3 linked regions of the Drosophila melanogaster genome follow. The protein of the gene in region 1 interacts with the protein of each later gene in a pairwise test. Each region holds a gene or a part of one and is shown in the gene's direction. Other genes may lie near its edges.

Region 1 (3,757 bases):
CAGCGGATTGGTGAAAAAAAAAACTATTAACTTTTGATTCTAGGGACCTCTCACAAGCAGGATGACATTGGAGGAAAAGAATTTACGCGAAAACTCAGCGCAGGCGCAGTTAACAGTCGATGGTTTTAAGACTGGTTTCGATATTTAATACTTTAAAAATGTTGAGGATTTATTAATTCAAACTGCAATGAAAAGGTATATTTTTAATAACAATGATAATATATTAAATGCGAGTAGGTGTATATTAATATCTTCTTATTCAGCTTGCAAATCAATCAAATCTAAGTCTATTTCTATAAGCTTTCTTCACATAATCATACTATATATCAAATGGAATACAAAACATATTATATATACATTAATTAAATATAATTTAAATAAATTTTAGAAACTACAGGAACATTGGTATTGGAACAGCATATGTTCCAGCTATCGATATCAGACTTACCTTCACTAACGTAAATAGAATCAATAGTCGCTTAAAAATATTGACATTGCATTTAGTTTTGTCTTGAGTTCTTGATAAAATGGCGAGCAAAAGAAAGCACCAAGCATCCCAGAAAGTGAAAGAGGAATCCTTCAAGAAACACACGCTTGACTCCGATGAAGAGGATTCTGACGACTACGAAAGGTAATGCTTAAAATGTGCAAACAATTGATTGTTTTGATTTCGGCACTTTTTGTTTGCAGGGAATACCTCAATGATAGCGACATTGAGGGCGGCGAGGAGGGCGTGGCAAAAGTGGAAGACGATGTGAAGGTAACACCCTTCAATATGAAGGAAGAACTGGAGGAGGGACACTTCGACAAAGATGGTCACTACCATTGGAACAAGGAGACGGAAGCAAAGGACAATTGGTTGGACAACATAGACTGGGTTAAAGTAAGGATTCCATCACTGCTGCCTGTACACAATCATTTAATTTAAAAGCAATATTTGCCTAACAGATTGGCACACAGAAGAACGCCTTCGACCCGGCAAAAGATGAAGAAAACTCTTCCGATGAGGAGAAGAACGAACCCGTGGGCAAGGCCTTTAACTTGTCCATGAACCTCATGAAAATGGTCGAGTTTATGAAACCGGGAGAGACTGTCAAGATGACCCTGCAGCGTCTGGGTAAGCAGCGCCCCGTCCTAACAACCCTTCAGAGGATTAAGCAGAAAAAGGCCGGCATCGTTGACCCAAAGACACAGGAAATCTCTCAGCTCACCGAGCTGGCCAACGAGATTCTCTCGAAGACGGGCAATATGGATATATATCAGGATACGTACGAAAGCATCAAGGCCAAGATCGCCGATTTGCCAGGAACGAGCAAACCTAAAGTAGCCGATGATATTGATATGTATGCAGATGATTTCGAAACGAAAGAATTGGAGCGCTCTAAGACATCGTCGAGTGATAGCTCCAAACCAACGACGACTACCTCAGAGGTGACCTGGGAGTTTAAATGGTCGCAGGATGAGACTGATATCCAGGGACCCTTTTCCACGGAGAAAATGTTGAAATGGTCCCAGGAGAACTACTTTAAAAACGGAGTCTATGTGCGAAAGTGCGGCGAAAACACAAATTTCTATACAAGCAACCGCATAGATTTCGATTTGTACTTGTAGGCCTTAGTTAACAAATGTTAAATTCTTTGGGTTTTAACATGTTTTCTGCAAATACTTTGTTCTATAATTGTATACTGTATACTTTACAAGAGGTTTCAATTAGTTTGCACTTGGTTTGGACTTAAAATAAAATTCATATTCATATTGATTCTGTCGGCTCTTAAATTTGGTCAGATATACCAAATTATGTATCCGAGTTACTTGCGCTAGTGACGAATAGCGAAAGATTCTTCTATTAGACCCACTAGTTCAGTAAGAGATATCTGATAGTCGAGAAACTCGAAAATGGCACTGTTGTTTTTGAAATGTGCAAACGATAGTGTGGCAAAAGTATCGTTTGGGCGGTGATAGTGCAATCGATGAATGTGCAGCTTTAATTTAAGCTTGTGAGTCTTGGCAACTCTAGAAACACATCGATTAACGTAGCTGAAAATTGTTTTATGTTTAATTAAATACAGGCGAATAGCTCAAGATCTTTTTGGTGTTATGAGCGTTCAAAAGTCACTACCGTTTCCCACTTAATACTTTGTTAACTGTTAAGTTCGTGCAGCAGTTCCCCAATTCTTGCAGAGGAAACAAATTTACGAGTGCTTCGGTGTTGTTGGACACACACTCACTTTTCATCGGTGGAAAATCAAATTTGGGACCAGGCGCAGAAGATTCGTCAGGATGACGACCAAGCACATCTATTCCACGACCAATTTATCAGATCTGCAATTAAAGGAGCAGGGAAACTGCTTGTTTGCAGCCCGAAAATATGACGACGCAATAAATTGCTACTCAAAGGCCATCGTAGGTGTCTCACATATTTTTGTTATTGTGATGTGTATTTTGTTGTTTACATGTGCACTATGCTCCATATAATATGTAGATAAAGAACCCCACAAACGCCACATACTTCACAAACCGAGCCCTCTGCAACCTGAAACTGAAGAGATGGGAACTGTGCTGCCAGGATAGTCGGCGCGCCCTCGACATCGATGGGAATCTGTTGAAGGGTCACTTCTTCCTGGGCCAAGGACTCATGGAAATCGACAACTTTGACGAGGCTATAAAGCACCTTCAACGGGGTTAGATAATACCTGACCTTTGATGTTCTCTACACTAACTAACCATATATGAAACTTATAGCATACGATCTGTCCAAGGAGCAGAAGCAAAACTTTGGGGATGATATTACACTACAGTTGCGACTAGCTCGCAAAAAGCGCTGGAATGTTATGGAGGAGAAGCGAATACAGCAGGAAATCGAGCTGCAAAGCTATTTAAATGGGTAAGATGTTATTCGAATTCTCTAGATGCCTTTTGCAAACTAAATTTAGTCACCGCACGACGATATCGAGGCAATTGTTGTCCTCATGTGATAGAATATATATTAAAAAAAGCGAAATTTGTGCAAAACCTAAATATTTATGTTTCAGTCTAATAAAAGGGGACATGGAAAGCCGTTTGGCCAATTTAAAGCTGAATGGAAATGTACACGATGAGCAGCTGAAAGACAAGCAACAGGAAATTGAGCAAGAATGCGTAAGTTGGACTTTAACCAGAATATTTAGCGGAGTTGACAATCTAATTTTACTTTTTAGGATGACCATATTAAGGAACTTAACAATATATTTTCTAAGGTTGACGAACGTCGAAAGGTAAGAAACTAAAGGAAAAATAACCAATATTAAAAATATTGTTCTAATATTGTTATTTACATATTACAGAAACGTGAAGTTCCCGATTTTCTATGTGGCAAAATAAGTTTTGAAATATTAACAGACCCTGTGATAACTCCATCTGGAATTACGTATGAACGAAAAGATATAGAAGAACACTTGCAGCGGGTTGGACATTTCGATCCTGTGACACGCGTTAAGCTCACTCAGGATCAACTAATACCAAATTTTTCAATGAAGGAAGTGGTTGACTCTTTTATTGCCGAGAATGAATGGTCTTTAGATTATTAAGTTACTTATTAGTTGGCATTGTCATTGTAATTGATTAGATGTTAGAACCCAGTTCCCATTGTCTAAAAACCAGATAAGTGATAATAAATGTGGATCTGCAATTGAGATTTATATTGTAAATGGATAAATTGTAATTATTAATAAATTAAACAGCATAATGTTCAAAATATAAATAAAAAAGCTTTTGCACG
Region 2 (3,757 bases), 7.5 Mb from region 1:
CCATCCATAAAACCACCTCATCCACAGTCTATTCCCAACATAATTCATAAATTCATAATGGGTGCCTCAAAACTCTCACACAGACGCAACAACTAATAGTGCATTAGTAGACTTAAACGAGTTAAAAATCAATCGAAATAGACTTGCCCTCGAAATAGTTATATAAGCTGTACATATAGCCGCCAGTATACAAGAAATATATTTTTAAATGCCAAAAAGTGAGCGCTGTAAACTACTTTAAGCCAACTTCAATCAGCAGAATTTGAAAATGAGTGGGGATTGGGATAGGATGGTACGATGGTAGGATGGTAGGATTCTGGAATACATTCATATATTGACCGAGTTGAGCAGCCAGCATTTTCTTGTTGACTTTTATTTTGGCATGTACGAAATCGAAACTACGAAAATCAAAGCAAAAATGTAACGAAAAACAAAACGGAAAGCAAAACAAAGTAAGAAAGAATATTAAATTAATATTAGTAATGGTTCTGGGGAAACAAGGCATTCGCTCGCATTCGACAAATGAAACCGAAAACAAACATTTAAATTGTAGACAAATTTTAAGTTATCACTAAAATGACGAGTGCCGAATGCCGATGGAGAATTTGCGCAACTTTATTGTGCAGTGCAACTACATAAGTGTAATTATTATAAATTGGTACACATGCATACATATGTATTGTTAATTATTAAAACGATGTAAATAATACAATTACGTAGGCGGGAAGACACGGACACAAACATGCATATAATTAAAGTAAGCATAATTACATGCCTAACTATAAATAACTATATATTGGTATATATAAAGATATATAATATATATATATTTTTATATATATACACGATGAATTAAACTAAACAACGTAGAAATCATAGTTAAATTTTTTCGAAGTGACAAGATTAACGTGCAGCAATAAGCAACCGACAAGAACAACAACAACAACCACAACAACAACAAAAACAAACGAAACGCGCCTAGTAATAGTTAATAATTCTATTTTGTTAAGCGTTATTGTAGTGAAACGAAACAAAAGAAAACCAAACAAAAACAAAAACAAAACCGAACCGACAGATCGAACAGCAAAACCAACAGAATTAAGTTTTAAGCTGGACTTTGGAACGTGGAAAGCGAGTAGAAAACCAAAATGAATGCAAAACATGTTGTTCATTGACAAAGCTAAAAGTAAATATATATTTTGTACAAATATAATTAAATTCAGCCGCAGCTAAAACCAAGTACACTTATTAAAGTTTAAGCAACAACAGAACAACAACCAATTTAATATGCAATTACCGTAACAGTAGTTGATAAATCGAACGAATAAAACATCAAAAATTGTAACATTTACATAACTGCCTTTTGTGTCTTGCTTTTTTTTAACACTATGGATGGTTGTAATAACGGAAGGAGATGCTTTAAAAATTCAGTGTGACCAGGCAAGGTTATAAATTCATGTCCATCTGTTTCAAACAAAAGCTGGAAATTCTTAACTCCTGTTCCTTAGGGGAACACTTGAAGCCGAATGCAATTAAAACGATTTCTTATCTTGATAATGCTCATGACGAAAGGAAGTTTCGATCAATACGAGAAAAACTTTTTGCATGATTAATCGATCAGTGCTGGTAAGTCGCCAAAGTAGTCTGTCAGTGTTAGCAACTCAACGTGTTACTTGCTGTGCTTTCGACAGCGTGGTGTCGATTCTTCGAATTCATCGTTTACAACTTCATCATAAGGAATGCAAAATCAAAGCGATTTTGTGGGTGAGATCCCCAGGTACACTCGCAACAAGAGAAGGCAATATCAGCGCCAACGACGTAAGGCACATCCGCAAATTCCAGGGGTATTAACAGGAGGACCAGAGCCAGAGAAAGTCAACAATTGTCAGAGAAAGAGACCCATCAAGGGCCACGTGTATGACTCCACCAGCGAGGAGGATATGACCATCAAACGTAAGCATACAGACGCCTCGTGGTACAAGGTTCAAGTTAAATGCGAGAATGTGTCCCCGAACATCGAGGAGAAGCACGGCAACAAGATCAAGCAGCCTTCCTTAGCGTGGAACAACAACAGGAAGCCCAATAAAGGGGATCTACCACAACCACCGCTATCTTGGCTTTATCCCAACCAATCTAGGGGCTTTTATGACAACCAAAGCTGGAACTCTGGCGGCTCACGTCAGAATCAGTCGCAGTGGGAAGCACCAGTAAGCTGAAAATCAATTATTCATTTAAATAATTAAATTAACCGAATTTTATATGCACATCCGCAGAGGCAAGAACATTCATCTTCAGCTCAAGGCCGTAGTGCCAGGAACCCATATCTGAACCCTATTCAGGAATCCTGCAATGGGCGTTATATTATTGAACATCAATGGAACACGACCATTATCCATCACAAGTAAGGTAAGGCAACAAGAATGAATTACATAAAAACCTATTCGCTAAAGAAGATTTAACACAGCCACTTATTGTACACAAATCTATAGTATGTCATTTATAACTACATCGTGGGGATTTTCCCGATTTCCCAAACACAGGACATTTTCATGAAAGGGCCTTACATGTCTGATCAGTTAGGTAAGGGTTAAAAGCGCAACATTTTGAGATGCATTGGGCCCCAACACCTATGCAAAGTGAGTGCATGCATGTGGGTTGCTGTTATTGTGATGGTGTGCAAGCAGCAACAAAACAAACCGCATATAAATAAGGAGAGCGAGGTATTGTTGCATACTTGTAGGCAGCGGGATGGGGGTGGAGCTGTTCTGTTCCATCCGCTCGCAAAGTTCAATGGTCTTTTGACACAAATGATGATGATGTCAAGTTGAGCTCGTCCTACGCTCCTGCCTTGCTCTCTCTCTCTCTGATGCTCTTTCTAGCTTGCGCTCTTGGGTTTAAAGCCCCTCTGGCACCTTCCCTTCAGTCAGCAGCCGTTGTTGTTGTTGCTTAAGTGTTTGTTTGGGTGCCGTGCTGGCTCTCTCAGCTCCAACAACAGCAATGCGGCCGGCTTACGAGCCCCGGCTCTCTTCGCCTCTTTTGGAGCTCGCTCTTTGCCGAACGGAGAACCTACCGCAATTCGTTTCGTGTTCACGGCTGCATTTCCTTGTTTATGTTTTGCGAAGCCAAATGTAGGGTACATCGGTTAAGTGCCGAGCCAGGAGAAAGAGAGAGCGAGCGAACGAGTACCGTTATGTTGCCGGAGCTGTTGCAGGCTGCGCAACTTGCGGCTGCAGCTTTTTATTATTTGCCTTCTTCTTCGCGACCGTTACTTCTCGCATGGTACAATGGTGCAACTGTGCCCAAGCTGTATATTGAAAATAAAACAGCACTTCTGCATCTCACTGATGTGCAATGGCATTTAAGCTTATCCTGAAACGTGTCAGGTGCATTTACTTATTTCTATACATTTACAAATTGTTGCATAGGTTGTCTTTTGAGTTTAGTTGGGACCGAAATCCATTATTTCAAATAAAATAGAACAACATTTTGGATATAACAATACATATTTAGCATATGTCAGGTCAGTCTAATATTATTATCTATATTTGCAACACAAGAAAGTAGAAGGGTTAAAGTTCGCGCTCAATGTTTGAATTTGTCCCACTGTGCATGCGAGAGCAAAACTACGCAGTTATGCTGTGCATTCGCCACCGCCCCCCTCCCGCCCTCTGCAGGGCCGTGCTCAACTGTACGCCAATTGGAGGAGAGGAGGAGCTCTGCCGCTGGGGCCGCGGACTGCGGCGCGGCAGCGCTGTCA
Region 3 (3,757 bases), on another chromosome or scaffold:
AGTTTCGTCCGCAACGTGCGGAGCTACAATGAAGGTAAGATTACTGATTGCTCCACAAGTGTAGAGCAAGCGCAAACTCACCATGAAGAAACCGAAGGAGAAACTGGTATACGCCAGTGCTATATAATATCCAGACTTAAAGAACAGCGTGCTAACCATCAGGCAGACAACTATATTAACGTACTTATAACCAGTGAATGCCAGCAGATCAAGCGTTTTCAGGCTCGTCTTCACATTCATTACGTACAGGGCTAGGGAGTAAATGACCAATTCGAAAATGCTATATGCCATGGCGCTGGAGGCCTGAATGCCGAGCTGCTCCGGCGAAAATCGCTTCTGCATGCCCAGAAGCAAACCCGCTACGATCACGTATGTGATGTAGCCCATGGTGGGCAGATAGAGATCTGGCGCATTAACATCATATCGTGGTTGCACTGGGTGCTCTTGGTCGTAGCGCAGGGACCAATCCTGAAAGGAGTATGTAATTTATATGGTTTCTCCGTTTGTGCTTCACCACTCTCACCTTATGCATATAGGGGAAAAACAGAAGGCGCAACTTCCTGCCCACGTAGGCGTTGTCCACTGCGAAGTAGTACTTGAGCTTGGCTACGGGCACCCACTTCTCGAACTGATTCTCCATGATCTGCTTGCCCTGATCCGCTAGTTTCTGACCGTACTGCATAGCCATGTCTTGCACGATGGGCTGCTGGAACATGGCGAACTGTGGGTACTGTCCAGTGGGTGGAGCTACAGGCTGAGGTGCTCCTATTCCGTAGGTGGGTGGCCCAGCCGCCTGTTGGGGAGGTGGTGCTCCATATCCGTATCCGGGCTGCTGTTGTGGTGGCTGCTGAATGTGCTGCGAGGGCTGGCCGAGATTGGGGTCGAAGCCATAGCTGTTGACCGGGGCCGGAGCAGGTGCTCCGTACATATTGGGATCTAGTATTCCGGGGCCGGTGGGCGGGGCCATGAAGGTGGCGCCACCGCCCATCATCGGAGCCGAGGGTCCCATGGCGTTAACATCACTCACACGCTTCGGCGGCCTTGGGCGACCGGCAGCTGAGGCTATTTTGGGACAGAGCAACCATTAGTTAGTGCCGGAGGATCTAAACGATACAACTGGGAAGCGGGGAACACAGGCACTCAAGCTACACACGCATCACGGAACGGAAACGCACAGCAGGCATAGAAACTGGGGAGCAGGATGCAGTGGAAGCCAGGAGCGGCGCACAAAACGGGGTAACGTGTAACGTAAACAGTGACAGCACTCCGGATTCCGATTCCGGTCAGCGGCGGGTGGGGAAATTCCGGAGTGGCTGCACCGGACATCCTTCAGGTATACTTGCTTGCGTAGCCTGATCCTTACAGTTCTCCCACTTACGGTTCCGCATACCCGGATTTGGATTGTAGTTCATCTTTCTGGATCAGTAAATTGTATTCAAAATTTCGCTTTTTAACACATCACCATAAGCATTTTGTTGTGTGACCGGAGTTTAGTGTTGCCAAATACCAAAGCATGACCGCCTACCAGAATGTTTGCACTCCGATAGATAAAATACTAAAAGTTACAAAAAAAAATTATAGATATCTTTGTTTTTTTTTTTTTTTGTATTATATTTTGTATATTTGTACATTTCTCTATTTTTATAACGTTTACTCCGTAAGTTTACTTATATGTAAATTTATACACTATTTTATTTATACACTAAACTTTCTTTAAGACAATTTCCTATTGTTCATCTTATTGCGATATATGGATTTATGTGCCAATGGATGTCTCAGTACTCAAATAACTGATTTCTTGCATTGGTGGTAACAGAAATATCATCAAGTCAGCCATTATATAAAAGAACATATGTAGATGAAAATTTAAATTGATTGTATTTTAAAGATAAAATATTTTCATAGATTTTGGAGAGTGGATTTTTTTATTAAACTATGCGTTTAAGTGGAAAAGGGCTATAAACAAAACGAGTTGAATAGCAGAGTGACCATGTGAGTTTTGACAGTGCCATCTGGCAACACTGTCGGCTTACTTTAATTTTTAGCGCATTCCGCAGCGCAAAACAAAACAAATTTGATTAGTTAAATAATTGACTGCAGTTCACTTTATTGTTAAGTCAAAGTTATGGAGAACGCACTTAAACGGCGATCTTTAACGCTCAGCACGCGTCTGCTGCATAAGCGCCACAGTGGTAAGGATTTCCAAGCTCGAAAAATCAGGAATATCCATAAAACAATCCTTTGTTAATAGCTTCACCACAGAGCGTACGCACAGGGCACAATGTAAGTGTATCCGTGGACACTCCCGGCTCGCCCAACTCCTCAGCAGTAGTGGGAATCACGTCCGACCTGGAGAGCACTCCACCACACAAACACAAGCCCAGCTTGGACGACAGTGTGGACTTCTCGCCCCGTTTGGACATCAGCCTTTCGCCCAGCTGCCTCTTCTCCCAGACACTGGCCACCGAAAGTCCGGAGGTGGGCTGGCGCTGGAACCGAAGCAGCAATGCCACCACGGACAGTGGCTTCGACTCCGCGGAAATAGGCAGTTTGAGCCAGCGCGAACGACGCCGGCAGATAGCCTTTAAGGGCGTCGAGGATAGACGCAGCCAACTGGACAATGAGCAGTGGCGGGCACAGCAGATGCGGGCTAATGTTCTTCTTAAGGAGCGCTGTGCTAGGCTCAATAGCCAGTTGGAGCAAATAGCTGTGTCCGAACCAGTAATGCCACTAAAAACTCCTAAAGCTCCGTCACCTGTTGCTCCCCGCACAAGATTAACCTGCACGAAGGCTACGCCAGAGCCAGTGCTTTCCCCTGTAGCTGCCTCCGATCCAATGGCAGACTTCCTCAACGACTCGGAGACGGATCTCTTCCTGCTTGAGGCCTCCCAGCAACTGGAGTCGAAAATAGAACACCATGAACCTCCCAAATCAAGCACAAGCACCACACCCACTAGGCACCACACGGCAAAGCGACCCTCCTTCTACATGAAATTTCTGGAAGACGAAAGCGAGGGCGAGGACTGGCTAAACGCCCTAGAAGAGGCAGTGCAGCAGGCCACAATGCCGAAGAAGCCGCGCACCTCGCTGCAGCGCTACAAATCAATGCCAACCACAGGGGATTCGTGCAGCGGAGTGTCCACCCTGACCAATGTGACGGCCAATTCAAATGCCTGCACAAGTGCCTCCTCCGCATCTGGTTCAGAGCTAAGGGATACTCCGCGCATCAAACGGCACGCCAGTTCGCACGCTCTGTCCCCAGCCACATCGCATGGTAAGTGCCAGAGTGAAGTCAAACATTTCTAGACCAAAGCAAACTCATCATTTCGTTCCCTGCAGCGCGCGGCAAACTCTTTGGCAGCCGGAAATGAAACCCGATTAGGTAACCAGCCCCTGAATACAATCAGCTTCCCTTCAGCGAGTACCAATTGTGATGAGCAAAGTTAGAGTTTAAGATATTTCGTTTTGTTTCGCTTGACTTGCGTGCCCCCTTGCCTGAGCATTCTGTATACGAGTACGCTAATTGATTAATGCAGCTCCAAAGCGTCTTTGAAAATGTTAATTTAAGCCTAATTAAAAATTAATTGTAATTTAAAGCAGGACCCTTAATATTCGCATCGAAGGCCTGTGCGTTCGTTCGGCGCATGCGACTCGCCATATGTTCGGCATTATCGGGCCGCGAACGCGCCGCCCACCAGTACCACCAGTACAGGTGGCAGGACGCAGACGGACAGGTGGATACGACTGGTCGCCGACA

The links.
Region 2: the proteins of STUB1 (region 1) and Rbp9 interact in a two-hybrid assay, tested with the Drosophila melanogaster proteins (one large-scale study listed by BioGRID).
Region 3: the proteins of STUB1 (region 1) and CG6425 interact in a two-hybrid assay, tested with the Drosophila melanogaster proteins (one large-scale study listed by BioGRID).

Annotation. Positions count from the first base shown.
Region 1 is NT_033779.5:10,435,559-10,439,315, forward strand, and holds STUB1 (STIP1 homology and U-box containing protein 1), read left to right. Parts: upstream 1-1,989; 5' UTR 1,990-2,280; coding exon 2,281-2,403; intron 2,404-2,482; coding exon 2,483-2,681; intron 2,682-2,742; coding exon 2,743-2,884; intron 2,885-3,032; coding exon 3,033-3,138; intron 3,139-3,197; coding exon 3,198-3,254; intron 3,255-3,323; coding exon 3,324-3,566; 3' UTR 3,567-3,682; downstream 3,683-3,757. Other genes in the region: holn1 (hole-in-one), read left to right, coding at 528-631, 691-883, 949-1,611.
Region 2 is NT_033779.5:2,953,107-2,956,863, forward strand, and holds the start of Rbp9 (RNA-binding protein 9), read left to right. Parts: upstream 1-1,655; 5' UTR 1,656-2,207; intron 2,208-2,273; 5' UTR 2,274-2,401; intron 2,402-3,757.
Region 3 is NT_033777.3:26,715,633-26,719,389, reverse strand, and holds the start of CG6425 (uncharacterized protein), read left to right. Parts: upstream 1-2,000; 5' UTR 2,001-2,125; coding exon 2,126-2,192; intron 2,193-2,251; coding exon 2,252-3,274; intron 3,275-3,339; coding exon 3,340-3,371; 3' UTR 3,372-3,757. Other genes in the region: Yif1 (Yip1-interacting factor 1), read right to left, coding at 1-23, 82-468, 524-1,062, 1,364-1,412.